Linked DNA regions of Cricetulus griseus. The protein of the gene in region 5 binds, or shares a complex with, the protein of the main gene of each other region. Links are inferred from orthologs where the notes say so. Each region holds a gene or a part of one and is shown on either strand. Other genes may lie near its edges. The genes, in order: Polr1b, Polr2h, Taf1d, Polr1c, Taf1c, Polr1h and Rrn3.

Region 1 (3,500 bases), on a different chromosome or scaffold from region 5:
CCTGCTTCTGCCTCCCGAGTGCTGGGATTAAAGGCGTGCGACACCAGTGCCCGGTGGTGGGCCTGTTTTTAGTATTTGAGGAACCATCATACTGATTTCCACAATGGCAGAACTAGTTCATGTTCCCACTAGCAGTGTATCAGGGTGCCCCCTGTCTGTATTCTCTCCATTGTGTCATTTACTTCCTTGATGACTGCCATTCTGATTGGTTGTGATAGAGTCTCACTGTTGTTTCTATGTGCGTTTTCCCAGTGACTGGTGGTGCTGCCCATTTCTTAATGTTTATTACCTGTTTCTACTTCATTTTCTGAAAACTGTGTATGTGAGCCTGATGCGTGTGTCCCTGTTCTTGTGTGTGCACATGTATTCGGGCATTTTTTTTTTTTAAGATAGGGTCTCACTGAACCTGAAGGTCATTGATTTGGTTGAGCTGTGGGTGACCAACAAGCTCCAGGGATCTACCTATTTCTGCCTCATCAGAACTGGGATTACAGGAGGGGGCTACCATGCCCTGCTTTCTGTATATGTGCCAAGCACTCACTGAGTCATCTTTGGCCAATATTTGATTTCTTGTTATTTGGTGTTTTGACAAGGTCTCCCTCTACCAGCTCCGGCTGGCATCTAATTTAAATCCTCTTGTCTGGTCCTTTTTAATATTTTTTTTATATAGTCTCAAGGTAACATCAGATCTTGGTCATGGTCATAGCACTAATGACTAAGCATAAAAGTACATCCTGGGATACCAGTTATTCTTTGTTTTTTTTTGACCTATGTCTTCAAGTTCAACTACTTCCTAAAATCAGTTTGCAACACTTTTTTTTTGTTTGTTTGTTTTGTTTTTCGAGACAGGGTTTCTCTGTGTAGCTTTGGAGCCTATCCTGGCACTCGCTCTAGAGACCAGGCTGGCCTTGAACTCACAGAGATCCGCCTGCCTCTGCCTCCCGAGTACTGGGATTAAAAAGCATGCACCACCAACGCCTGGCTGCAACACTTTTTATTAGTTACTTTTTTGTTGCTTTGACAAAATGCCGGACAGAAACTAACTTAAGGCGGGAAGGATTTATTTGGGCTTGTAGTTGGGGCATATAATGTGTCATAATGGAGAAAAAGTTTCTGGATGTAGTACAGAAATGTAAAATTGGGAGTGAGTCTGGCTCCTGGTGGGCTAGGTCCACTATCTAGATCCCGTGTTCTGGAGGACATGGATGTTGGGAACTGTTTATGTGACCTGCAAGAGCAGTGCACACTCTTAACCACTGAGCAATCTCTAGCCCCAGTAATGAGTCTTCCTCTGTCCCACCAGCCAGCTCCCAAATAATGACACAGAGACTTCTTATTAATTATGAAAGCCTAGCCTTAGCTTAGGCTTATTTCTAACTAACTCTTATAACTTAATCATTTCTATTAATCTACGTGCTGCCATGTGGTTCATGTCTTTTACCTCCCCTCCTGCACTGCCTGCTTCCTCTGCCTCTGACTAGTGACTCCCCCTTTACTTCCCAGACCTCTCTCTGGCTGGAAGTCCCGCCTATACCTCCTGCCTAGCTATTGGCCATTTAGCTTTTCATTAAATCACAGTGGCATATCTTTACACGGTATAATCAAATACCTTGCTACACGCCCCTGATCTAGACTTCCTGTCTCTGTCTTTAGGAATGCCTGACCTTTCAGTTGTACTTTGAAGGTCTGTCTTTTACAACCCTGACTGTGCAAAAGACGCATCCTTTGTTGCATGTGTAAACAATGGGCCTTGATTCTGGATTGTGTAGATTGTGTGGAGGTAGATACAGTACTTGAGATAATTAAGGCGTGCACTACTTTAAATTTAACGTTTGCTTCTTTTAGGAAAAAATGGAAAATTGGCTAGCATCTATTAAAATAGCTTTAGATAAGAGGGCTCAGAAGACCAATGTGTCCATAAACAATGAAAATTTGCTGAAGATATTTAGCATGGGAACAGAGCTAACAAGACCATTTGAATATCTTCTTGCTACTGGGAATCTGCGTTCAAAAACAGGTAAAATTAAGCAAATAGGCCATATTTATATATTTTTTGATTATGTGCCTACTATGATAAAAAAAAAAATGTTGCTGCAGAATTCCAGAGTAAGCTCACCCTCACTGAAGCCAGATTTTATGATTTAGTAAATTTTGACTCATGTCTGCCAACCTGAATTCAGGGTTCAGCAGTGTGTCTTATTTTTGTAAATCAGTGCTGGTAAACAAATGCATTTGGTGACTGCTAGGAAGCAGATGAGCACATTCGTCTGGGGCGGGGTTACCACTGTGATCTGGAAGGGTTTGGATCTGCGCCCCTCCCTAACCCACTTGTATTGGAATGAGCTGGGAAAATAAAAAGGACAACTGGGTTCCCAAAGTCTGCTTTCACTTTAGGGACAGATGCCACTGATTTCTCTTGTTAGCATGCCAGCATGTGCTTGCGTAGCTTCAGGGCTCTCAGACCAATCTAATTCAATTTTTTCCATTTATCAGAACTAATACTGTGTGTTACGAAATTGTGAGTGTGTGTTGGTACTGGGAAATTGAACCCAAGGCCCATTCATATATTAAGCAGATGCTCTTACCACTGAGCTGTATCCCCAGCCCTGAAGTTTTGTCATTTTATCAAAACATTAGAAACAGACAGTTTGGGTTTTTTGACAAAGACTTTGGCTTGTTTTTGAGTAACTTTTTTTAAATTAAGGTCTCGGCTTCCTGCAAGATTCTGGCCTGTGTGTTGTGGCTGACAAGCTGAACTTCATTCGCTATCTCTCCCATTTCCGCTGTGTGCACAGAGGGGCCGACTTTGCCAAGATGAGGACCACCACAGTGCGCAGGCTGCTGCCAGAGTCTTGGGGCTTCCTCTGCCCTGTGCATACCCCAGACGGGGCACCGTGTGGGTTGCTGAACCACTTGACTGCCATATGTGAGGTCGTCACGAAGTTTGTGTACACAGCATCTGTCCCAGCCTTGCTCTGTGGCTTAGGTATGGACACTGAAGGTCCTGCTAGGTTTCATGGCTTTGACCAGCATCAAACACTGAAGTCACTCTCTGGGGCTCAGCAGAGAACTCTCTTTCAGTCCTCCAAGCATGGGTTGGGCTGCTTTCTTGGCTGCTTTCTCATGCATTCTTTGGAGCTAAAGTAAGTTAAATGTCATTAGCGTTGTCCTTTTTTTTTGTAATACAACAAGAGCAAGATATTTAATAGGACAGCCTTAACATTCAAAGTTAGGTGCTGCTGTATAAATTTCTGGGTCACTCTCCTGTGCTCCTGGTAGATCTTTGAATTTCTAAGTAGAAAATTGTTGGTTTGGGGGAGTTCAATTAAAAAGTAGCTTATGCAGTATAGCTGATGCCATAGATCACTGACCTTTGTTCCTGGTAGCATGCAACCACTGTCTCTGCTTGGGGAAAACTCAGTCATTGTTCAGATGTCATCTTTTTGTTTGAGTATTTTCTAATGGTTTATTCCTGGGATTTTCCTGTTGTGATTTAAAAG
Region 2 (4,243 bases), on a different chromosome or scaffold from region 5:
ACATTTAAAAATGGAAACTGAGCCAGGCATGGTGGCACAATCCCAGCACTCAGGAATCAGAGGCAGAGGCAGAGACAGAGGCCTGTGAGTTTTCGGCCAGCCTGACAGTCTACAGAGTAAGTTCCAGGATAGTCACGGCCACACAAAGAAACCTTGTCTCGAAAAACCAAAAAGATAGAAATAATTAAAATAGAAACTGATAACAACAAATGCCATGGAAGCGCAACCTTATTTGGCTTTCACATCAATTCAGTGAACTAGAAATGACTGTCTGTACTTTATTGATAAGGAAATGGAAGATGGAAGTAGTGGAGCTGAGAAGTAAAAGTTCAGTATATAGTCATGGCTGTCCTAACTGGCTATGTAGACCAGGCTAGCCTCAAACTCACAGAGGTCTCCTGCCTCTGCCTCCTAAATGCTGGGATTAAGTGTGTGTACCACCAGACCCAATACTCCACAGTCTTTCTGTCACACCAAAATCTAGGTTACTATGTAATCATTTTCTAGGCCTTAAAAAAGCTACATTTGCAGGGTGTGGTGGTACATACCTTTAATTCCAACACTGAGGAGGCAGAGGAGGTGGATGTCATCTGTGAGTTTGAGACCAGCTTGGTCTACATAGTCCAGGCCAACCAGGACTACAAAGTGAGACCCTGTCTCAAATAAATAAACAACTGCAGTTCACAAGCTTCCACTCACTGCTCTCACTAAGTAATCAAGCCAGTTGTTTGAAATTTTTTTCAAATTTTTTAGAGACAGGGTCTCCAGCCCAGGTTGGTCTCAGATTTGATGTGCAGCCAATGGTGTTCTTGAACTCCTCATCCTCCTGCCTCATCTCCCGAGTTCTGGAATTACAGACACAAACCATCACACCCAGTTCTGGTTGTGTGAATTCTAAGTGCAGTAATGTCTTTTTCTAGCAGTAAAATAAAGACCATTCTATGTACTACTTATCTATTTAGTCCCTCCTTTACCACCGCCTCACCTGGAAGGCCTGTCATCTGTGGGGTTGTATTCACCATCATCCAAGGTACCATCTTCATACAAAGTACTAGCTATGACCAATCGGAACTTGTCACCTGAAAAGAGCATCAAGCGGAAACCAAAGATAAAAATCACTTGCTAAAGCCAGTCGTTGGCAGCACATGCTTTTAATCCCAGTACTCAGGAGGCAGAGGCAAGCGGATCTCTGTGAGTTCGAGACCAGCCTGTTCTACAAGAGCTAGTTCCAGGACAGCCTCCAAAGCCATAGAGAAAACCTGTCTCGAAAAACAAACAAACAAACAAAAAAATTCACTTGCTAGCTCCTGTGTTGGACACTTACCCAAGTCCACTGGGTAAATCTGAATGTTCACGTCTAAGATGAGGTCCATCTTGAAAGATTCACTCTCACAGTGCAGCCGAGATACTGGGAAAGAGCGACAGACATAATTACAGGCAACAGAGTCGGGGTCGAATGCAGGAGAACAAATCTTTCAACTAGTCCACAGCCATTAGCCTTGCTCTGGGACACAGACACAGAGTGCAATCCAAATCAGATTCAGAGAAGAAAGGGAGTAAACACCTCAGCAAGTGTCAGGATCCCAAGAAAGAAGCAGAACTTCTCTGGCAGCAACCCGTCTCTAGGCTCTAAGCACACCTGGATGATTTAGACTAAACTCAACTCTGAACAAGATAGTCATTAGTCCAGAGATCCCCACTTCCTAGTAGGCACTCTGCGGAGGGAATAGGCAGGGTGTATTGAGAACTGACACCTGTCTTTAAAAATGGGGGGGGCACGCCTTTAATCCCAGCACTTGGGAGGCAGAGGCAGGTGGATCTCTGAGTTCAAGGCCAGTCTGGTCTACAAAGCAAGTTCCAAGACAGCCAGAGCTACAAAGAGAATCTGTATTGGGGGGGGGGGGGTCTGTCTCCAGGTAAAGTGACACTGAGAAGAAACAACTTCCGGATTACTGGGAAATGAATACACCAAGCAGTCAGCTGCATGAAATTTATAGAGGACTCGGCAAAGGGCTAACAATTCTTGGGGCAATACAAAACTATGGGTTAGGAAGACAGGGAGGTAACTCGCTGCACGGCCTTAAGTAACAAAATAGATCGGGCACCATCACTTCTTACTACAATACTTAAGTGTGCGAGAGAGGCGCACGGTACATACAGCACGTAATACTGAATAAGGAGTCAGAAAGGTGTCCAGGGCTTTCCCAACCCCAAAGCCAAGGGCCACCGAGGCACCAGACACCGCAAACATCATAGGAAAAGCTGTCCCAAGTTTCTCATTATGAAAAACACTGTTTCCTGAGGGAGGTACCGAGAGGGTGGGACGGGCCACTTGGGGTGGGTGGGCATGTTTGGCCTCTTCCTCACCTCCCCTACACACCTTACCTCGGTCAAATTTCTTGCCTTCTGGGTCAATGTCTTTCACATCAAAAATATCCTCGAACAGGATGCCCGCCATCGTAAGGGGCACGAGAACTGCAGAGGTGCGGAGCGCGCGGCCACCACTGGGAATTCGCGCACCCCCTCACGTGGAGAAAAGAAGACAGGGCAGAGTACCGCCCCAAAAAGCGGCAACCAGCCGCAGGGCGCATGCGCACAGGCTTCAGCAACGCAGCCACTTCCGCTGCCTCCCCTCGGGGCTCCTTCACTTCCGCCGGGAAAGGCCACCTCGGAGTGGCTCGGACCTTGTGGGCGAGTCTCAAAGCGCGGTGACTCCGCCCAAGGCGGGGACAGACTAAGTCCCACCCCCGGCGGGTACCGCGATGCGCCCGGCTCTAGGGCGCCCTCTTCAGACCCCGGATCCCGATGCTTGGAAGGCTCCGGGACCGGACCCAGCCAGGAACCTTGATCCTTGGCCCAGAGGGAGCCCGGCCCTAGCCCTTCCCTGCGGTCCGCGTGCCCGCCGAGGGCACAGTCCGTGCTGCAGGAGGGTGAAGCCGAACTCCACCCGCAGAGCGCCCGCCCAGCGGGACGCAGTGCCCAGCCCCTCGGACGGCCACCAAGGTTCCCCACGCTGGTCCGAGCTGGCTCTGACCAGCTAGACGTCACCCGAGCCGGGTCCGTCCGGTTTGGGAATTTGCCGTGATGTCACTGTCAGGGAAAGGAAAGCCCGCATTGTGCCCTCGCCTGGGGCTTCACCTCCTCGCCACGCCGGTCTTCCCTTGGCCCTGCTTGGCACTAACTCTGATCCCCTAGAACACTGCCAATTGAACTTGGTACTGCCTGTCACCCCACTACACTACCCTCTTCTGGACACTGATCCAGTGCGCTTCCACCCGACACTGGCCTTTCCCTGGGAAACGACAGCTCGCAGCGCGCTCTTTCCAGGTGCTATCTCCTTTCATCGCAGCCCCCGTACTGGGCACCGTACGCTCCCCTTGAGCACCACCCTCTGTTTGCTGAATGAGTCTTCATCCTGATGCTGTTCTTTCTACACGGATTTCTGGGCACCGTCCTCTCCAGTGGCACCAACCTAACGCTGTCCATCCTCTTTGTGCCAACGCCACACTGTTCTTATCCTTCCAAGGATCCCGAAAGACAACGTAGAGCTTCACTGGGCCGCTTCCTCGAGGCGTCAGCAGCTACTCAAGTTCCCCCTTTAAGCGATGCCTGGGAGGAGCGACCTCTGCTCCCCCACGCCCGCCTCCCAGGAGCAGCCTCCCCCGCACCAATAGCTCCCTTCCCTCGGGCCTCACCCCTTCCCGTCCCCTCCCACCTCCACCTCCGCCCCGATCTCCAGGCCTAGCAGTTCCAGGTGCACCTTCCCGGGGGAACCCGGAGGAAAAGAAGAAAGGAGGAAGGGAGGCGATAAGGGAGCGGGCTCTCAGGAATCCTCCCAGACCCGTCTGAGCCGCCAGCAAACGCGAAGCAGAGGCTGCCCCAGTCGAGTCTGGCCTGGAGAGCCCGAGATAGCTCGTCAGCAGCCCCCTGCCCCAGCCCTGGAGTCACTACATCCTCAGCCCCTCCCGCACAACGCTGCAGCCGCCCGAGAGCCCGTCCCCTCCACGTGCCAGCGGACCCGCCCCCGTCCGGCCCCGCACCCTCTCGGGGCCGGGTCAGCCCCCGGCCTCCCCAGAGAAGGGGTGCAAGATCGCGTTGCAAGCGCCCCCTGCCGCTTCTCCGGAGGCCAGGAGGCGGCTCCAATGCAGACCCCAGCCCGACCGGACGCCCCTGCAGATGGGCCAGGGCGGAGCAGCAAGCAGGGCACCGCCCTCGGCCCGCCCGCCAAGGAGGGGACGCTAGC
Region 3 (4,080 bases), on a different chromosome or scaffold from region 5:
TATGTCTGAACACTCTTCTCTGGTGAACGCCCCACAACAATTCTGCTCATTAAGTTCTTTTCTTTTTTCAAGACAGTTTCCTGGAACTCACTCTGTAGACCAGATTGGCCTTGACTCATTGATATCTGCCTGCCTCTGCCTCCCAAGTGCTGGGATTAAAGGCCTAGAAGCTCATTAAGGTTTTTTTATTTTTTTATTTTTGGTTTTTTGAGACAGGGTTTCTCTGTGTAGCTTGTGCTGGCCTCCAACTCACAGAGATTCGCCTGCCTCTGCCTCCAGAGTGTTAGGATAAAGAGTGAGGTGAACCTTGGCAGGTTTCATGGCGGGCGAGGTTGACCGAGGCCAAGGGACAAACATTCCAGGCAGACAGCTTAAATGAAGTTTTATTAGGAAGAGGCAGGCCAGCATAATGCCTGATCCTTACACCCAGTGCTGGGATTAAGGGCATGAGTCACCACCGCCTGGCAGTACACAACATAAAGATGGTAAAACTTGTATTAATAATTCTAAATTTTCCTTACTTATGGGGAAAACATAGTCTAGGCTGGCCTGGCAATCCTCCTTCAGACTCTCCAGTTCTGCGATTTGCCACAGTTCTCAGCTATTTGTCACTTTCGTTTTGAACAGGACCCTGCAATTTAAGTTTGCACTGGTCCTGAATGTGACAGTCTGAGATGCCTGTCTTAGAGCTTACAGCGAATGCACTGGCTGCTTGCAAGTACAGCAAGACCTTACTTTTAAGGCGTGTCCAATCATAAATGATAACAACTGTTGACTAAGGGCAAGCAGATCTGCTGGCTTGCTTGTCATACAATACAAAGGTGCAGCATGGAAAATAACTCAAAGCAGCTCACTACTGAAAAGAAAGTACTGTAGGGCTAAAAACTGTTTAGCCCTACACTGTTGAGTCAACTCAGGATCTGAAGGAGGAAGCCCATGCCTGCTGGAAGCTAACTCCTGAAGGGTGGGGTGCCCAAAGCACCTGGCACCCTTCCTCTGAGGGGGAACTCCGCACACAGTGGGCTCGGCCCCACAACATGCGGACGCTCACCTGACCCGCAGTGTCTTCACGCCTGCAGGAATGCCTTCTTCCCTTCACCTACCCAAGTTCAACGTCCTGCTCCCTTCCGCCAGCTCAAAGCCTAGGGGCGAGCCCGGTACCGCCTCTCGCGGAGGCCCCGCCCACTCCACAGTCCACGCACATAGCCACGCCTAGCACGTAGCCGCGCTCTCGTACCCACCCGCCGCTAAGAGCTCACGCGAGATCTCGGCCTGCCCTAGTCGGCTGCTGCGAGCTGGAACGTTCTTTTGGTCGCGGTGGAGGAGGGAGACGGGTGTGTTTGCGTTGGGCGCTCGGGTCTGGCGCGATCGGTCGGTGCGGGACTCGGAGACCGCGCGCGGGCCCGGGCTCTTTGGGCGGCTGTCCGCGCGCAGTCGGCGCTGTTGTCGGGTGAGGCGCAGCGGGCCACGCGTGGCTCCCGGTCGCTATCGGTCGCTGCCGGAAGGTTTTAGAGTGTCCCGTCGGGGCATTGTGCTGGTGCTGCCTTCCTAGGTCGAGAAGACCGCACAGGTAGGACTGATTTCTAGATAGGTTCCTCGTGTGTACTTGGCCATTACCCTTAGAATTTTCTCCGCTCTATCGTTGGTGCAAACGGGCCAAGTATGTTACGTTGCAATTTTGATGGGCTAATACTAAAAAACAATGGGGAATGGAGAAATGGCTCTACAGCTAAGAGCACCAGCTGCTCTATCAGGGGACGTGGGTTCAATTCCTAGCAGCCACGTGGTAGTTCACAACCATTTGTAATGGGCTCTGGTTCCTATTTCTGGTATGGGTGAAACCAATGCACTATCCGTAAAATAAGTCCCCTTTTAAAGGAAAAAAGTTAATAACCCGGGAGGTGGTGGTGCATTTCTTTAATTACAGCACTCAGGAGGAAGGCGGATCTTGAGTTCGAGGCCCCGCCTGCCTCTACCTCCTGGGGTTAAAGGCGCGCACCACCACCTGGCCAGTTGCGGCCCCTTTAAAGCTGCCTTGTGGGTGCTGGGAATTTAATCTGTCCACTCAAGAGCAGTCAGTATTCTTAAAGCTAAGCCATCTCTTCAGCTGACTCACCCTAGAGGTTCTATTGTTGGGATTACAGGCCCATTGGCCATTCGGGAAATTGAGGCATACACACTGAGTGGCTAAAAATTCAGCCTTCCTAGGGTAAACATCCGAATTAATGCTGTTTCACTGTGTGGCTGGCTGGTAGTAAAGCCACTCAGGTACTTTTGTTAAGTAGAATTAGAAAACACTGATTTGGAAAGTGGTCTCTCCTTTGCTTTCACTTGTAGATTAGAATTGAATGTGTGGGTATCCAGGAAGCCAGAAACATGCCATGTTGAAGTTGTGAGCTACCCAATGTGAGTGCTGGGAACTGAACTGTGGAAGGTTACACTTTAACTGCTGTGCTCCTCACGTGGATATTTTTTTTTTTAAGACAAGGTTTTTCTATATTGAATTAGAGCCTGTCCTGAAACTAACCTGGAACTCACAGGTCTGCCTGCCTCTGCCTCCCAAATGGCTGGGATTAAAGGCGTGCACCACCAACAGCTGGCTCACTTGGATGTTTTTAAAGATCTAAAGTGGACTATCCTTAGGTCGATTTTACCTAAAGTCACATGGTGGTATGGTGTATGTTGAACTTTTCATTAGAATGCTAGGTGCATCACACTGAAATTGTAATTGCAGAGATCGAGTAATGGCTCAATCAGAAGTGACTTCTGTTGACTGCATGACACCTGATAGAGCTGCAGACATTGGACATCAAAGGTAAGGCAGCTTTTGTGACTAAACACCCTAGAGTTGAGTCTAACTGTTCAGATTGACAGGTCTCAGTAGGTGGCCTCATTCAAAGATGATCCTGCCTATTTCTCCCAAGAGCTGGAATTAAAGGCTTATCACCACACCCATTTGAAAATGTTGGGTATGATTTTGGGGGAGCTGGCTTTGGAAGAAATGTACACTTAAATTTTTAATGTCTTCTCTTATGTGACTTATGAGTGAGTGCTTTGCCTACAGTCAGTATCATGTGTTCAGAAGAGGGTGTTGAACTCCATGAAACTTGAGTTACTAATGACCATGCTGCCTGAGGGTACAGCCTTGCCACTCGTGAATTGGATTGTTTCTAGTAACGACTCAGTGATGCAGTTTATTTTATTTTATTTTTTTAGCGATGACTCATCTGATAGCTTATTTAAAACACAGTACGTTCTTTCACCTACACGAAAGCAAAGAAACCCTACGACAAAACGTGTCACTTTACCTGCAAATGTTGACACTGACACATCAAGTGACTCCTCTATAGAACCAAGGCTTTTGACTTTAAAGGCTATTTTTGAAAGATTTAAGAAAAAGAAACGGAAAAAAAGGAAATACAAGCCAAAATTAAGACCAAGAGGAAGACCACCTGGAATAAAAAATGCTAGAAACCCTAGAAGGTCACAGATAGGTGTGAAGCAAATTAAAAACAAAGGAGCTGTGTTTCCATTCTTAGAATCTGAAAATGGAAGAAAACCCTTACCTTGGAAGAAAATTTTAACATATGAGGTGAGTCATTCTCATGTAAGTGAATACACTAGGAAATTGGAATGATTGTTGCCCCCATCTTTTCTTCCTGGTTTTTCCAGACATAGTTTCTCTGGGTTTGGGTGTTGTTGGCCATTTTTAATTTGAGGTCCACCTGGGACACATTTTGTTACTTTGACAATAAACAATGTGTTCTGTGTAAAGTCTGCTCAGGTTCCAGTGTTTCTGAGTGCACTGTTTTTAGTGTGTATACAAACTTAGAGAATAATGGTCCAAGTCTGTAAATGTACAAAATACCCTCATCTTAGTCTCTAAACTACTCTCAAGCATATCTTACCCAACTTTAAATTAAGTAGCCCATCAAACCAGTCATTTCAAAGTAAGCAGATGTTATTTCGTTCTTTTTATTTTTTATGTCATTTACTTTTTTGGGGGGGTGTTTCGATACAGGGTTTTCTGTGTAGCTTTGGAGCCTATCCTGGCACTCCTTTGGAGACCAGGGTGGCCTC
Region 4 (3,970 bases), on a different chromosome or scaffold from region 5:
GATGTGTTATTATAAACCAGAACCTTTTCCACTGCCATTGTTGGCACCTGTTCAAAAAAGCAGAATCATCCAACTGCAACACCAACTGATCTCCCTACCTGGAAATAAGAGACCCACACGTCTTCTTTTACCTCAGCTAACAGAATTCTCCGGAAAGCATTAGCAATGGCAGCATCAATTCCCACCATGTCGAACTCCAGTGTATTTTCATCCATATGAACAACATCCACACGGAAATTCTAGAGGGATAGAGAAAAAACTGATGGAACACCTGTTTCTCTTGTGTAATTCAAGCCTCCCTCTGTGATTACTCCCACCCTGGCAATGTCCCTCCATGTATGTCCACCCTCTCTCATCCTAAAGCCTTCCTGTGACCAGATGATCACTAGACTTTTGTCTTCAGCCCTGTTCTTGAGTTTTGTAAGAAGCCTGGCTGGTTTTCTTTCTTTTTTAAATTAAAAAATAAGGGGGGGTCTCCCTACCTTGCCCTAGCATTTCTGGAACTATCTATGTAAACCACAATGGCCTCGAACTCACAGGAATACTTACCTATCTTCTATGGACTAGGATCAAAGGTGTACATCACTAAGACCCTAAGCAAAGCCGGGCATTGGTGGTGCACACCTTTAATCCCAGCACTGGGCGCGCGCGCGTGGGGGGGAGGGGGACACAGGCAGATCTCTGTGAGTTCCAGGCCAGCCTTGTCTACAGATGGAGTGCCAGGATAGGCTCCAAAGCTACATCCTGTCTCAACCCCCGCCCTCTCCCCAAAAAAGACCCTAGGCAATATGGCTCCACAAAAACAACCCACAGAAGCTGCTACACTGAAGAGCAGAACGTCCCACACTGCTTAGACAAGTTAGTCCTGCATTTGTTTTTATTTTTCAATCCCTCTTTTTTCAAATTCTACTCCCTTGACTTTTGAACACCAATTTAGTTCTCTTATCTGATATTCTAAATTCTTCCTCTCACCCTGTAAATGTTACTTTCTCCCAGGTTCAAATCTCTTGGCTGACCTCAATCACACTCCTGGCTTAAGCAACTACTCAGCAACTCCCCAAACTTGGGTTCATTTTGATCTCACTTCAGGCATCATTCACTTGACCTACAGACTTCACATACAGGAATTTGAACATATTATCACTCTTTTTCTCCTGTTTATCAACTGACACAATCAGCCATCAAGACACTTCCCTAATGGAGCTGACGAGATGGCTCAGCAGTTAAGAGCATTTGACTGCTCTTACAGAAGAACTGGGTTTGGCCGGGCGTTGGGTGGCGCACGCCTTTAATCCCAGCACTCGGGAGGCAGAGGCAGGAGGATCTCTGTGAGTTCGAGACCAGCCTGGTCTACAAGAGCTACTTCCAGGACAGCCTCCAAAGCCACAGAGAAACCCTGTCTCGAAAAACAGAAGAAAAAAAAAGAAAAAAGAAAAAGAACTGGGTTTGGTTCCCAGCACCCACACTGTGGTTCATAACCATGCATAACTCCAGTTCTGGGGACCTAACTAGACCTCCCTGGGTCACCAGTCACACAAATGCACAAATATACATGCAGGTAAACACATAACCCCCCCCCCAAAAAAAAAACTCCTTAAATTCCCCACATCACAAGGCCCTTTTTCACACACACACACACACACCCCTCACCAAAGCTATATGGTACATAGCTGTTAGTTCTCCTTTTGCTCCATTTCCACTACCAGTGGAATTTATTCATTCCCTCCCAGCTATGAAGGTTACAAAATTAGATCAGTCTACTGAAAAATTCTCTTTAAGCCAGGCGAGGTAGCTCATGCTATTAATCTCAGCGCTCAGGAGGCAGAAAGGCTAGTTTCATGACAGCCAGGGATACCCAGAGAAACCCTGTCTCGAAAAAAAAAAAACAACAGAGCTCTCTATTAACTTGCAGAGCTTAAGATAACACCCCAATCAGGGACGCGAGTTTAAATTTCCAGCACTCAACACTGTAACTGACAACAGGATCCGACACCCTCACATAGATTCGGACAAAACACCAATGTACATAAAATACAAATAAATTTTCAAAGAGAAAAAGATAGACCCCGGTCTTGTCTACCACTCGGGCCAATGTATTGACATCTGGCGATAATGAACTGCTGGAGCAGGCTCTGCGCAAACAAGCGTTTGCAACAATGCTCCAATTAGGCCTGCACGGCCTAACTGTTGGCCAGTCTTCCTTCACTGACCCGAGTCTCCGTCTCTCCGACGGACCGGATTAAGTCACCTACGGGATTCCTCTCCCGCACCCCGGCCGTGCTCGCCGCTCTTGTGTTTCACCGGGATCCCTTGATCACGTGGGCCTTCACCCCACCCGGGCGGCCTGGCCACCCAGCACCCAGCACATGGATGGCTCAGCACACGTTTTTGGAACGCGGCGAGCGTGAGCCGTCTGGTCCCCGGGCCGCCGGGACACCTCCCGCGCACCCACCTTCTCGAAGCGGTCCTGGTCCCAGGCGTCGTCGTAACCCGAGTAGTTACCGGGGAAGTCGGTGGTGTGGACCTAGAGCCAACAGATGTGTTCAGCGGGGCGGTGAGGACAAGCCGCAAGCCAGGTCCCCTCCCCTCCTCCTCCCCCATCCCGCCCCCGACCCTCCCGAGTTCCGCTCCGAGCTCACGTTGCGAACCCCGAACTCTCCCAGAACCACGCGCGTCCGCATCTCCTCCACGGCCTGGGCCGCCGCCATCGTCCACCACCCGCCTCGAGACGCCTCCGGTGCGCGCAGGCGTACTAGGGGCCCGTTGCCGTCTCCCTGGCAACGCCCCGCCTCCTGAACTTATAAATGTCGCGATATCCTGCCCCGCCCCGTCCACGTCCTTCACTTCCGGACGTCAATTGGGGCCAAACATCCGGGTTTCTCCTGTTTGCATTCCGGCTGATACTACCTCGCCCTCTCTCTTTCCTGGACGTTTCCTCCTTCTCTCCGGCCCGGGTCTCACGCTGGTCCCACGCCCGCGAGCTTCAGCGACGGAAAGCCTCGAGGGACATGGCGACTCCCGCGGCGCCGGCCAGCGGCGTCCGAAACGGAGCTGGCCCGGAGTGGGGAGGCTTCGAAGAAAACATCCAGGTATGGAGCGGTGTCCCGGCTGCCGGCAGCCCCCGGGCTGGCCGCCGTCCCCTCTCGCGGCCTGGAAGTCGGCTCCATTGCAAGTGGTGGCCGCTGAGTCTCCCACGCCCAGGTCTGTAGCGCTTGTGCTGAGGAGGAAGGGCCAGGCCGAGGCTGCAGCGGGCCTCGGGTCTCCGTGGCTGGGCGGCCTGTCTGGGTCAGGCAGGTGCAGGGCTAGAGGGTAGGATTGATTCCCTGGAGCCCCTAAAGGTGGCCTGTGTGCACATAGGCTTGCTTGAAGGTGGGTGGCGGCAGGTCGGCCCCGGTGCAGCACTTCGAAGCTTTGAGGGGGAAGGTAGGAAAACAACGTGAATTGAAGATGAGTAGTGTGTTTTCTGAACCACAAAAGTGTGGCGACAAGAGTTGTGCCAGCAGTGACAAGGAGGAGTTTGGCACGATGGGTAGCAATTCCAATGTCCTCATCAGTGGGAGAGCAAAGCCTCAAACCGTGCGATGAGCAGAGAGCAGAAGGGTGCAACAGAAGGCCCCGCTCTCTAGCAGCCTTTGTCTTCACAGGGCGGGGGCTCGGCCGTGATTGACATGGAGAACATGGATGACACGTCAGGCTCCAGCTTCGAGGACATGGGGGAGCTGCATCAGCGCCTGCGTGAGGAAGAAGTGGATGCCGACGCAGCTGCTGCAGAAGAGGAGGATGGCGAGTTTCTGGGCATGAAAGGCTTTAAGGGACAGCTGAGCCGACAGGTGGCTGATCAGGTAAGCAGATGGGAAAGTGGACCCATGTGTGTCCCAAGGTGACGTAGGTTTTCCAGGGAGAACCACACAGAAATCTGGCAAAGGCTGTGTAACGTTAACAGTCTAGAGCCACCAGTTTCATAATACCC
Region 5 (4,241 bases):
TGAAGCATTCCTTTACCAAAATTCGAACCAACTTCTTTATAATTTTAACAAAGACAGTCAATAGCTCTTCAGGAATCATACAGGACTCTAGCACCAGACAGGGACTGCTAAGACATCCAGCCTCATGTACTGAACATCACCTTTTGGGTCATGGACAGCTATTGTTGGACTACCCAGATCACAGCTGTAAGCCAGTCTAATAAAATCTCTATTCTATATTCATCCATCTGTTCTGATAGAGAACCCTGACTAACACCCAGAAACACAGATTTAGAGTTCCCTGGATAATCTGCTACATGGAGGAGACAGATTAGCGAAGTTTTGCTAGTTCCAGAACAAAGGAAATCATAACCCAAAAACAGTTTTCAAATACATTGGAGGGAACATCATGTAGGTAGGTTATAGCGAAGCAGGAGCATCTATTTTAGGTCTCAAAATTCTATCTGAAGTTTTCAGGTAGGGTCTCAGCTATGCAGGTCTTAGACCTCTGTCTCCCTGGTGTGAATAGGCTCATTCCTCCCCTGCTAGCATTGGACCCACTCTTGCTCTGAGTTCCCAGGTGTTGATAGGAAGAAAGTTTTTCTCTGTGACCCCAAGTTCTTCACCTTGAAGTTACATAAGGATCTGTCTTTCTTTCTTTCTTTTTCTTCCTTCCTTCCTTCCTCCCTCCCTCTCTTTTGAGACAAGGTTCTCACCATACAACTTTGGCTATTGCTGGGCAGACCAGGCTAGCTTTGAACTCACAGAGATCCACCTGTCTGCCTCCCTAGTGCTGGTTTAAAGGCGTGCACCACCACCACCCGGGACAACCTGTGTTTCTTTTCTTTCTCCCCCCCACCCCCCCATAGGGTTTCTCTGTGTAACCTTGGCTGTCCTGGAACTCACTCTGTAGACTAGGCTTGCCTCAAACTCAAAGATCCACCTGCCTCTGTATCCTGAGTGCTGGGATTAAAGGTGTGCACCACAAAAAAAAAAAAAAAAAAAATCTGTCTGAAGACATTCTTAGCTTCCTAGTGGGTCCGCAGAACCACACATCCTAAGTTTCACGTGAAAGGCACAAGACAAAAGCAACTTGCAGGCAGCCCCCACGACTCGCTGCTTCTGAGTTTGAAAGTCTCCCAAAGCACGCAGGTGCAAGCTGGAGTTTGAAGACTACAGCCTAATACTCCTTCCTGGCCCCTGATTTAAGCCACGCATGAGCCCAGGGTCATATGAAAAGCGGATTCCTAGGATTTATGGACAATAAATACAGTGCGTGGCCCATCGGAGGTGGTCGGTGAGATAGTTAGTTAATGAAGCAGAGCAGGATCATCCAACACCGGGATGGGAATTCCACGCCTCAGGCGCCACGACCACGCCTATTCCTTGTCTGCCCGGCAGGTAGCGCCGGAGAACGCAGTGAGGCCTTGCTGAGGGCGGGATTTCCTGTTTCTCGGGAGCACTTCCGGCCTGGTCCGGAAAACAGTTCAGTCCGGCTGTGGATGCTCACGAGTTCTGAGCTGAAGAGTTGATGAGTGGCGCTCCGGCTCCTTTTTGGGCCCCGGATCAGGTGAGACTGCCGCCGGGAGCCAGCATGGTCTGCGCGCGGGGATGATGTGAGCACGTGGCGGTGCCGCGAGGCTACAGAAACCAGGGGCAGGCGGGTTCCAGCACTGAGGCTGGTCTGGGACGCTTGCAATGAGGGCGGGCGGTCTCGGGACCGGGTCTCCCCTCTGGCACACATGTGAGCAAGTTAACCACACACCGATTCCTCAGATCCTCAAATTCAGGACCTTTATGCCGCATCCAGCTGGTGGTAGTGCTCAGCGGGTGCTGTTGTTCAATTTAAATTTTCTAAACTGTGGGCTGATTACTCCCTAATGCTTCTAGAGCAGTGGTTCTTAGCCTCTCTAATGTTGCCTGCGACCCTTTAATACAGTTGTAGTGACCTCCAACAATAAAATTGTTTTCGTTGCTACTTCATAACTGTAATTTAGCCTGTTATGAATGATAATGTAAATATCTGTGTTTTCCGATGGTCTTAGGTGGCCCTTGTGCTAGAGGGTTGAAAACCGCTGTTCTAGAGAGTTCCTACTTTTATTCGATCCTCAGAGCCTTTGCACGCACTCATTCCCCCTGGACCCTCTACCCAAATGTGTGCTGAGCTATCTGTCTCCCTGAGTACCCGTAGGGACCCCTCACCTGCCCATCAGCAACCTCCCCTGTGATGGGGGAGTGAGCAGTTCTCTAGAGGCCCTTCTTACTCTCTGGCATTAGGCTGCATAGTCTGGTTTTTACCTGTTTCTTTGTAGTAGACTTTGTAGCACTGTTCAGACTCCTAATGAAGATGTGTGTGACATTAGATGCATTTTCTCCAGGATGGACTTCCCCAGCTCTCTGCGCCCCTCGTTATTTATGGCTGGGCCTCTTGGCATGACTGATGGTCCTGACCTGTCCTTCATGTGCAGCTGGAGAGATGCACTGACCATGCCAGGGTCCCAGCCACAGAACTGCAAGGTGAGGATGGAAATAGGGCACTTCCTTTGGTCCCCCTCTTATCATTAAGACTCAGTGGCACAGATGATAGACAGGGCTAGGCAGATGCTACTCCTGCTGTGCACAGGCCACGCTGCTACCCAGAGAGAGTCGATCAACAGAGGCTGTGGCTCCTCTTTCCTCCTTCTCTCCCTAGATTCAGCTGGTATTTACTGACTAGTGTTTCTGTGCCAGGGTCCTTACAGGCCCAATAGTCCAGCATGAGGAAGTTAGGCAACCCCACCTTGGGGACTGCCAGTTAAGGTGGGAGAGTTTGTACCAACAGGCAGACACTGTGTAGTGTGGCCTTGGTTCTACTGGAACAGTGGAATGGCAGGGAAAGGGGGCAGGATTTCTGCTGGCATCTTGGTTGGGACTTCGTTAGCTGCCCAGCTGCCTTGTGGAATTGAGTACATACTGTAACGATATCTCTTTCCACCAGCTGCCTGAGTTCTGCTGCCTTTTAGGGCCCCCAAATAACACACAGAGTCTTATATTAGTTACAATGCTGCTAGCCAATGACTGGGATTTCTTATCTGCTAGCTCAGTCTTAATTATCAACCATAACTACCAATCTCTATTTTTATAAGGACATATCTTACCAAGGATGCCGGCCTTATGCTTGTCCTCTCTTCCTGGGGGATCACATGGCGACTCCTCTTTTCCAGAATCCTCCTCCTCTCCTAGTCCTGCCTATCTTGCTTTCCTATTGGCCAATTGTGTTTTATTTACCAACCAATAAGACAAACATATACACAGAAGGACCGCCCTTATCAACATACAGGAGAGTGGGTCAAAGAGGGGGTGTTGAAGGAGGGGGTGTTCTTGGACCTTGAGTTAGCTCATTGGGTTCTGGGTGCACAGACAAGGCATGGGTGTGGAAGCTGGTGTGAATGGACTTTAGGATACAGATTCTGGAGTTGGCTGCCTGGGTTTAAGTCCCTGCCTTCTTTCCTGACTCTTACCTGGGGCAAATGACAGCAAACTTATGCTTCAGTTTCTTTCTTTTTGCGGGGGGTTCCAAGGCAGAGTTTTTCTGTGGCTTTGGAGCCTGGCCTGGAACTTGTTAGCTCTTGTAGACCAGGCTGGTCTCAAACTCAGAGATCCGACTGCCTTTGCCCCCGCCCCCCCCCCAGTGCTGGGATTAAAGGCGTACGCCACCACCACCCGGCTGCTTCAGTTTCTACATCAGTGAAGTGACCAACTTTGCAGAGCTGTCATGAGGACTGAATGAGTTTTAGTCAAAGAGTGCACCCCTGCCATGTTATTGCTGTCCTGTTCCCCTAGGATGGGACATTGCCATTGGCCAAGAACCTGCTGTGGGAGCCAACAACACCAGGACCCCTCCCCCTGCTGCCTCCTGGTCCTGGTAAGGGTCTCCTTCTGGGTTCCCTCCAAGGACCTCAGCCATCAGACACACATACATTCCAGATCCTGGATACCTCCATATATCACTGTGTTTCCATGCTGCCTTCTCAGGTTCTTCTTTGACCTCTCTCTCCCCTTAGATCCCTGGGAACCTGGCATGACCCCTCGGGACCTCCTTTTCCGGGGAGGTCACCGCTACCAGTTCCGGCCTCAGGTTGGGCTGGATGTCACTGAGCAGGTAAGTGGTCCCTGGGTGGGATTGTGCTGCACAGCCTGGGCTGTGCTGAGTGACACAACCATTCCCCACAGCTCAGCCGCTTCCTGTGGGACCATGGGGACATAGCCTTCACACCCCTGGG
Region 6 (3,937 bases), on a different chromosome or scaffold from region 5:
TCGGGCGGGGGCTCAGGGGCCGGGCTCCAGGCCGGCTCACTTGGTGTTTGCCCTCGTGCCGGCCCACCTGGTGCTCGTTCTCGGGCCAGCCCATCTGGTGCTCGTTCTCGGGCCAGCCCACCTGGTGCTCGTTCTCGGGCTGGGCGTGCGGCTGGTGGCGGGGGAAGTGGAAGCCGCCGGGGGTGGGGATCGGGGAAGCCGCCGACAGGAGGAAGAGGAGACAAACTTGAGAAAGAAAGGGCTAAGGGGCAGGGGTCTTTCACCTTAAGCACACAAGAAACATACAGGTGGCTAGGTGAGGTCTCATTTCTGTAATTAATTTTCAGCCTGACTGTAACTGGTTTTAACTTAGTAAAATATTTGAAACTTAGCACAGCTGAATTTAAGACTGCATAGGGTTACATTATAGTCCTTAAACAGTAGCTACAAGTACACATTTTAGCTGCTTGCTCAAATGAGACAGGGTTTTTCTGTGGCTTTGGACCCTGTCCTGGAATTCAATATGCTGGACCAGGCAGGCCTTGAACTCAAAAAGATCCATCTGCCTCTGCCTCTGGAGTGCTGGGATTAAAGGCGTGTGCCACCAACACCCTAAACTTAACTTCTGAAAAGATAAACATCTTATAATAGATTAGCAGCTTTTATAAAACAAGAATTTTACATTGTCAGGCTTTGCTTAAAAATAATTTTAAATTGAAGCTCTTTAAGTACAAACATTAATAAAAATAAACATTTAAAAAACTGGTTTTAAAAAGAAATTTAAATTCCCTTAATATCTTTCTGTAATATATAGAAGCATTAACACTTTAAATCTTAACTGAAAAGCTTGTTTCTAAGATGGAACCTCTAATTTCCACGCGGTCATCTTTAGTCAGGATGGCGGTTTAAGTATCTTTTTTCAACTTCAGCAAAATGGCTGCCAGTCAGCCATGTGACCAGTTTGCCATGTGGCTGGTTACAAAATGGCCATAACTTGCACCCTTTGCTTAACATGCTTGTAACAGAACTTAGGTTATACCAGGAAAAAGAACATTTTAAAACAAGTATACATAAATTACTTGAGAAATAAACAGGACTTTTTAAAAACAGAATTAGCTTAATATGGTTAAAATTTTAACTTATATTACCATTTTTAAAATTTACTATTTGTTGACATGAGAAACCATAGCAAACAGTTTACATTTTTCTCTTTTAATAATCTCTTTTCTGACCTTCTATGACTTGCTTTAACTTTCTATAACTTTTTATAGTTCTTTCCTCTGATTTTCTTAGACATTCTTAGACAAATTTTTCTTTTTCCTTTTTCTCTTTATTATTTAAGTCTCCTACATTTTCTCTCATTTCTCAGTCAATGTAAAAATTTTTATCAAAGTCCCTTTTACAGTTTTTAATAACTTTTAATAACTTTAAGGCCTTTTTTTTTTTTTAGAAGTCCGGATCAGGCCAGATAAGTTCATACGCCCCAGCTCCATGTGCTCAAGGCAGAGACCTGGGGTGGGGGTGTTGGTGGTAACCCCAGACCCTTGGCCAATGCAGGGGTGGGATAATGGGATAAAGACCCCCTCGGTCCCCCTGCATACCATGTGTGTGGAGCACAGAGAAGGCCGAGCAGCCAGGCAGATGGCGGGCCTTGCAGCCATGTTCCCTCAGAGCAGGGAAACTCCCTTGGCAGGCAGGATGGCAGCTGGGGCAGAAACAGCCCCACTTGGCATGCCTCACAGACCCGCAGGTGGGGATAGAAAGGGGGTGGTGTGGTGGATCCTGAATTGAAAACCAATGATGATAACACAGAATAGACAGGAAAGAACAGACGCCAACCCAATCCGCCCGCGCCGCTTATAAGGCAATGGCGACGGAAGATGGGCTGCAGAACCCAGCGGCTACAATCATCACTAACTGAGGAGGATCCAAGTCCTTGGCCTCCGTTCGTACCTCCTGGGTGTCCTCAGAGCAGCAGTCTGTCCTCCGGGCGCATCTGCTGATCACAGTTGAGGTGGCATCATGTGCTCAGAGCATCAAGAAAAGACCCCTGACCCATGCATTCCATGTGCATGGGCAGTAGGGACAGAAAGAGATGTTTAACACAGACTAGGGTCCTATTCGGAATTTCAGATGGCTAGCCCCGTGGAGATCAACTTGGTTCGAAACCAAGTCTCCCCTATAGATTTCGGAAGGCTGCCGCCCGAACTTCCGCCTTAAACAATTCTTGTAGGCCTACTCACAGATGTCGCCAGAAACCCCAACATAGGACCTCCATATCCACAAAATTAACAGAAATAGTAAAATTGACACACAAGCAGACGGTTAGGGTGTGGGCTGCAACAGATCAGATAACAGATAACAAACCTGTTGCTCAACTGTTCAGTCACCCAGCCCATTCCAATCCTCTAGGCTTAACAGACACCAACAGCAAAACAGGACATCAGACAGGACAAACCCTGTGGCAAAGAAATGGTGCCCCAAACCAAAATTACAAACAACCCTTGGACTTCATCCAGGGCGGAACCAAGGATTCCAGAAATACGTCTATTTCTGTGCACGTCTGCTTACCCTATGGTTCAATTCAAATAGCCCTCGGACTTTTGTCCAGGACGGGACTTTGAAATATGTCTATTTCCCCCTGAAGTCCAAATTACAAATCACGAGTCCTGCGCAGGCTCAGATCAACAAAAGAGCAATTTCAAGTGGCACCAAACCAACAAAAACAAGCAAACATATAACATTGAACATATAAGTTGCGAGCTCGAATCATCTTACCTCCAAGATCGAATCCATTCAGGTGAAGGGTGGTCGCAAATCGCGGACGAGCCCCCAAATGTTAGACCCCCCGGAAAACTCAGGTATCCGGGGTCCCAGGCCACATTCTCGGTCACCCCAATCACCAGGCGGATTCGAGAGCTTGATGCAAACTGCATGAGGCTTTATTGTAATTTAACAAGCTAACCCCATGTTAGCTCGGGTCTTTTACCCACCCGCCGTGGCAGATGGCTCGCAAAAGACAGCTCCTAGGGTCTCCCAAGAGATCTTACAGGGCAGCGTAAGGGGAGTGTCTAGGGGTATGCACAGGCTCACTATTGGTGTGCCTCCAGCCTTGGAGGGCTTGCCCTGTGTTGATTGGCCAACTGGTTGTTATGGCCCATAGGCCCTCCCAGGGTGGTTGCTATGCTTTGTGCGTCATTGCTGAGTGCTTATCCATAAAGCACACCCTGGGTCATAAAGTATAGCGCCACCAGCTAACTTCTGATTGGTTCCTTGTCTCGAGGCAGGCATCTGACTTTCTAGTGACTAACTTCTGATTGGTTCCTTGTCACTAGGCAGGCATCTGACCTCTAAGTGACCAAGACAAGGTTATGGCAAGCATGTGTTCGGCTGTTATGGCTGCTGAAAGGGAAGCTGGTCCCTTCACTATCAGTCTCCACATGAGTTCATGCCCATGCAGAAACACCCACATGAATATCCAGAGCTGTCTAAAGGGTCACAGCATCAAGAAGGTTGAGAACCACTGCTCTAGTAAGTGAAGAGAGTGAAAATGCTAGACTTAGGAGTCAGAATGGAATGGTGAGAACCAATTCCTGGAGAAATGATCTGAGAGCAAGGACATCATTTTCCAGCTATGGGAAGGAAAGGACCAAGCAGGATGCAGGATTATGAAGTCCTAGAGGAAACCCCTAGCCTAGGACCTCAGATCAGGAGGCATGAGAGAAAACATTTTCTTTAAGCTTGGTAGGTTGGTAAATGCCTGTAATCCCAGAGCTTAGACAGGATCATTTGGAGCCAGAAGACAGTGGGCTTCGTAGTAAAGCCCCGTAACAACTCAGGCTGAAAAGTGGAACATCACCATACTCCAGAAAGCTTCATGTACTCCCACTCATAGCCACCTCCCGGCATCCAAGAATGTATTTCTAAGTGGTACTATTTGCAGTTACATTGTGGGGAT
Region 7 (3,500 bases), on a different chromosome or scaffold from region 5:
GATAGGTAGGTATACATACAGAAGCTCTGTCTGGAAATAAACAAAATAAAATAATGAGTTTATTCAGTATAGATTTGGAAGTGTGGCATAGTGGTGCTCGTCTGTAATCCCAGAATGTGGGAGGTAGAGGCAGGAAGAGCATGAGTTCAAGATCAGCCTTTACTGCATAATGAATTACAGTTGTCTTGAAAAACAAAAAGAAATGCTGAGTGGTGGTGGTGCACGCCTTTAATCCCAGCACTTGGAAGGCAGAGGCAAGTGGATCTCTTGAGTTCTAGGCCAGCCGGGTCTACAGAGTGAGTTCTAGGACAGCCAGGGCTGTTTCACTGAAACCCTGACTTGAACAACAGTCCCCCACCCCCACCTCTGCCCCCCAAATAGGAAAGATCATTTTTGTTGCTTCACAGCAGTGTGTGATGTACAGGCTTGTTTGCTTATCACTACGGGATTATACCGAATAAAACAGCCTGGAGCCATTGAGATGACTCTGACTGCAGCCCAGCCTAAGTGATCCTAGGACCCTTGTCCAGAAGGTGTATACATACAGAAAGTAAAGCCATTTGTTTAAATACTGTTGTAACCATAGCTTAATGGATAATTTGGGGGTGTTACTTTTGTTTGGGTTTCCCCCCTCAGTGTCATGAATGTTCAGCTCTGGCCCAAATGCTGAATCTGTTTCTCCCCCTCCAAGTTTCTCTGGTTTCTCTGTGACTTTGGAGACTGGCTTTAATCCAGAGTGCTGTGATTAAAGGCGTGCGCCACCACTGCCCGGCTCAAATGCTGATTCTCAATAGTATAGTGTTCCTTTTAAAATACATATTTATGGCCAGGCTCAGCACTGTGGAGGCAGAGGCAGGAGGATCTCTGTGAGTTCAAGTCCAGGCCAGCCTGGTCTACAGAGTGAGTTCCAGGACAACTAGGGCTGTTACACAGAGAAACCCTGTCTTGAAAAAAAAAAAAAACCCTAAAAATGTATTTATGAAATTAAAGTTTGAATTTTCTCTGTAGGTAAGATTGATAACAATAAAACAAAGGATTTATACCGTGACCTGATATCCATCTTTGACAAACTCCTGTTGCCCACACATGCTTCCTGCCATGTACAGTTCTTCATGTTTTTCCTTTGCAGCTTCAAATTGGTAAGTAAAATGGCATGGCCGTAGTGAGAGTGAGTGAGTGAGTGAGTGAGTGAGTGAGTGAGTGAGTGAGTGAATGTGTGATTTATAGGGTCTCATCTAATCCTGGCTAGCCTGGAGTACAGAAATCTGAGTGCCTTTACCTCCCAAGTGCTGGGATTAGAGACATGTACCACCGTGCCCAGCTAAAAGTTTATTATTTTTTTAAAATTGTGAGTACCTATGCATGTTCGTGTGTGGGTATGTGTGAGTACCTGTGACCATAGCATTTAGAAGAGGGCCCCAGTACCTATGCATGTTCGTGTGTGGGTATGTGTGAGTACCTGTGACCATAGCATTTAGAAGAGGGCCCCACGCCAGGCAGTGGTGGTTCACACCTATGTGGATCTCTGAATTGGAGGCCAGCCTGGTCTACAGAATGAGTTCTAGGATAGCCAGAGCTACACAGAAACTCTGCCCAAAAAAACATTTAAAAAAAAAAAAAAAAGCCTCAGATTCCCTGCAGGTGAACTTCCGTATTTTTGTTTGTTTGTTTTGTTTGTTTGTTTGTTTGTGGAGCAGTATGTGCTCCTAATCCCCAGCCTGTTTCTTTAGCCTCTTTTATTACTTTATCCCACAATTTTCCCCTTAAAAACTGGAGTAGCATCAAGTACTGTACAGATACATTGAAGGTGGTATTCTGCCTTTGGTCACTAGATGGTGCCCTTTTCCTTCCTTCTGGTGGTACCGAGAGTCACACCCAGCTCTTACAAGGGAAACAAACTCTACCAACTGGGCTATCCCTGGCCTGCAGACCCCAGAGATATTTGTGGGGCTTTTTGTTTGTTTGTTTTTCCAAGGCAGAGTTTCTTTGTGTAGCCCTGACTGTCTTGAGACTTGCTCTGTAGACCAGTCTGTCCTTGAACTCAGAAATCCAGCTGCTTCTGCCTCCGGAGTGCTAGTATTAAAGACTTTTTGATTTCATGATGTTCCATTACTGTTAGTGCCTTTCCTATCACTGTGCAGTTCAGAAAGTCTTCTCCTGTGCCAATAAGTTCAAGACTATACCCTACTTTCTCTTTTATCAGATTCAAAGTAGCTGTCCTTATGTTAAGGTCCTTGATTCATTTGTAGTTGAGTTTTGTGCAGGGCAATTAATATGAATCTGTTTGCATTCTTCTACATGTAGCCATCCAGTTTGACTTGACTAGTACAATTTGTTGAAGATACTTTTTTCCAATGTATATTTTGGGCTTCTTTGTCAGTCGGTGTGTGAGTTTTTATCTGGATCTTCAGTTTTATTCCAGTGATAAACATTTCTGTTTGTGTGCCATTACCATGCAGTTTTGATTACTATAACTCTGTAGGACCATCTGAGATTGGGGATGGTGACACCTCCAGCACTTCTTTTATTATTCAGGATCACTTTAGCTCTTCTGCATAACCAGTCTTTTTCTGTACCACCAGCTCCCAAATTAATGACATGGAGACTTATTATTATGAAAGCTTGGCTTAGCTTAAGCTTATTTTTAACTAGCTCTTATAACTTAAATTAACCCATTTCTGTTAATCTGCATTTTGTCACATATTGCCCTTCCTGCTTCTTCTGTGTCTCCTTCTGTGCCTAGATTCCTCCTCTTCCTTTCTCTCCCCCAAATCCCGTTTATACCTCATGCCTAGCATCACCCATTCAGCTCTTTATTACACCATTACACCAATCACACAGTGTGCAAATATTTCACAACAACCCTGCTTTTTGTAGAGTGGCTATTTTCACTATAGTAATCATACTGATCCATGAGCATGGGAGATCTTTCCATCTTCTGGTAATTTCTTCAGTGTGCAAAGCTTTTTTTATGTAAGTCTTTCAGTTGCTTAGTTAGACTTAACCCAAGATTTTTTTTTTTTTTTCTCTTTCTGTAATTAAAGGTTTGCACTACACCACCTGGCCTTTTTTTTTTTTTTCTACTACTTTCATGTCTTGAACTGTTTTAATTATTTTATTCCACTGTTTGTGTTTTCACAGACTTCGTTAAGGGATTTATTCATGTCTTTAAGGTTCTTGAACATATTCATAATTGCTGTTTTCAAGTTTTTGTCTTGTGCTTCAGCTGTGTTGCATTTCTCAGGGTCTACCCTAGCAGGGCTACTGGGTTCTGGTGGAGGCGTATTGTCTTGACTGTTAATATTTGTGTTTTACAATGGTGTTTAGCCATCCAGGGTTTGGGATTGATTGAGGAGATTCTTGGTGTTTATATCTGGTCTGGTCTTTGTTGAGTGGGTATTCCATTCCTTGGTTGCTATTGTCCTCTCTGGATCTTAAGGTAGTGATGGCTGTGGGTTGCCTTGTAGTAAGTGCTTCTGGAGGTGGGTGGGTGGGTGGCA

The links.
Region 1: Taf1c (region 5) and Polr1b share a complex: the UniProt entries of both Homo sapiens proteins name them as parts of the pol I pre-initiation complex. The link is inferred for Cricetulus griseus from reciprocal best matches to the Homo sapiens genes TAF1C and POLR1B.
Region 2: Taf1c (region 5) and Polr2h share a complex: the UniProt entries of both Homo sapiens proteins name them as parts of the pol I pre-initiation complex. The link is inferred for Cricetulus griseus from reciprocal best matches to the Homo sapiens genes TAF1C and POLR2H.
Region 3: Taf1c (region 5) and Taf1d share a complex: the UniProt entries of both Homo sapiens proteins name them as parts of the transcription factor SL1/TIF-IB complex. The link is inferred for Cricetulus griseus from reciprocal best matches to the Homo sapiens genes TAF1C and TAF1D.
Region 4: Taf1c (region 5) and Polr1c share a complex: the UniProt entries of both Homo sapiens proteins name them as parts of the pol I pre-initiation complex. The link is inferred for Cricetulus griseus from reciprocal best matches to the Homo sapiens genes TAF1C and POLR1C.
Region 6: Taf1c (region 5) and Polr1h share a complex: the UniProt entries of both Homo sapiens proteins name them as parts of the pol I pre-initiation complex. The link is inferred for Cricetulus griseus from reciprocal best matches to the Homo sapiens genes TAF1C and POLR1H.
Region 7: Taf1c (region 5) and Rrn3 share a complex: the UniProt entries of both Homo sapiens proteins name them as parts of the pol I pre-initiation complex. The link is inferred for Cricetulus griseus from reciprocal best matches to the Homo sapiens genes TAF1C and RRN3.

The regions. Positions count from the first base shown.
Region 1 is NC_048599.1:49,457,757-49,461,256, reverse strand, and holds part of Polr1b (DNA-directed RNA polymerase I subunit RPA2), read left to right. Parts: intron 1-1,845; coding exon 1,846-2,017; intron 2,018-2,704; coding exon 2,705-2,986; intron 2,987-3,500. UniProt on the Homo sapiens protein: Catalytic core component of RNA polymerase I (Pol I), a DNA-dependent RNA polymerase which synthesizes ribosomal RNA precursors using the four ribonucleoside triphosphates as substrates.
Region 2 is NC_048597.1:67,932,157-67,936,399, forward strand, and holds the start of Polr2h (DNA-directed RNA polymerases I, II, and III subunit RPABC3), read right to left. Parts: upstream 2,801-4,243; 5' UTR 2,459-2,800; coding exon 2,386-2,458; intron 1,409-2,385; coding exon 1,325-1,408; intron 1,080-1,324; coding exon 986-1,079; intron 1-985. UniProt on the Homo sapiens protein: DNA-dependent RNA polymerase catalyzes the transcription of DNA into RNA using the four ribonucleoside triphosphates as substrates.
Region 3 is NC_048597.1:128,814,751-128,818,830, forward strand, and holds the start of Taf1d (TATA box-binding protein-associated factor RNA polymerase I subunit D), read left to right. Parts: upstream 1-1,280; 5' UTR 1,281-1,570; intron 1,571-2,734; 5' UTR 2,735-2,744; coding exon 2,745-2,815; intron 2,816-3,216; coding exon 3,217-3,592; intron 3,593-4,080. UniProt on the Homo sapiens protein: Component of the transcription factor SL1/TIF-IB complex, which is involved in the assembly of the PIC (preinitiation complex) during RNA polymerase I-dependent transcription.
Region 4 is NW_023276806.1:255,712,608-255,716,577, forward strand, and holds the start of Polr1c (DNA-directed RNA polymerases I and III subunit RPAC1), read right to left. Parts: upstream 2,801-3,970; 5' UTR 2,709-2,800; coding exon 2,640-2,708; intron 2,525-2,639; coding exon 2,453-2,524; intron 240-2,452; coding exon 132-239; intron 48-131; coding exon 1-47. Other genes in the region: protein YIPF3, read left to right, coding at 3,009-3,089, 3,645-3,842. UniProt on the Homo sapiens protein: DNA-dependent RNA polymerase catalyzes the transcription of DNA into RNA using the four ribonucleoside triphosphates as substrates.
Region 5 is NC_048596.1:196,237,590-196,241,830, reverse strand, and holds the start of Taf1c (TATA box-binding protein-associated factor RNA polymerase I subunit C), read left to right. Parts: upstream 1-1,441; 5' UTR 1,442-1,510; coding exon of another isoform or gene 1,511-1,549; intron 1,550-2,342; exon of another isoform or gene 2,343-2,357; 5' UTR 2,358-2,358; coding exon 2,359-2,496; intron 2,497-3,801; coding exon 3,802-3,883; intron 3,884-4,022; coding exon 4,023-4,120; intron 4,121-4,191; coding exon 4,192-4,241. UniProt on the Homo sapiens protein: Component of the transcription factor SL1/TIF-IB complex, which is involved in the assembly of the PIC (pre-initiation complex) during RNA polymerase I-dependent transcription.
Region 6 is NW_023276806.1:228,752,316-228,756,252, reverse strand, and holds the start of Polr1h (DNA-directed RNA polymerase I subunit RPA12), read right to left. Parts: upstream 2,801-3,937; 5' UTR 2,758-2,800; intron 1-2,757. UniProt on the Homo sapiens protein: Core component of RNA polymerase I (Pol I), a DNA-dependent RNA polymerase which synthesizes ribosomal RNA precursors using the four ribonucleoside triphosphates as substrates. Can mediate Pol I proofreading of the nascent RNA transcript.
Region 7 is NW_023276807.1:74,978,884-74,982,383, forward strand, and holds part of Rrn3 (RNA polymerase I-specific transcription initiation factor RRN3), read left to right. Parts: intron 1-1,008; coding exon 1,009-1,139; intron 1,140-3,500. UniProt on the Homo sapiens protein: Required for efficient transcription initiation by RNA polymerase I (Pol I). Required for the formation of the competent pre-initiation complex (PIC).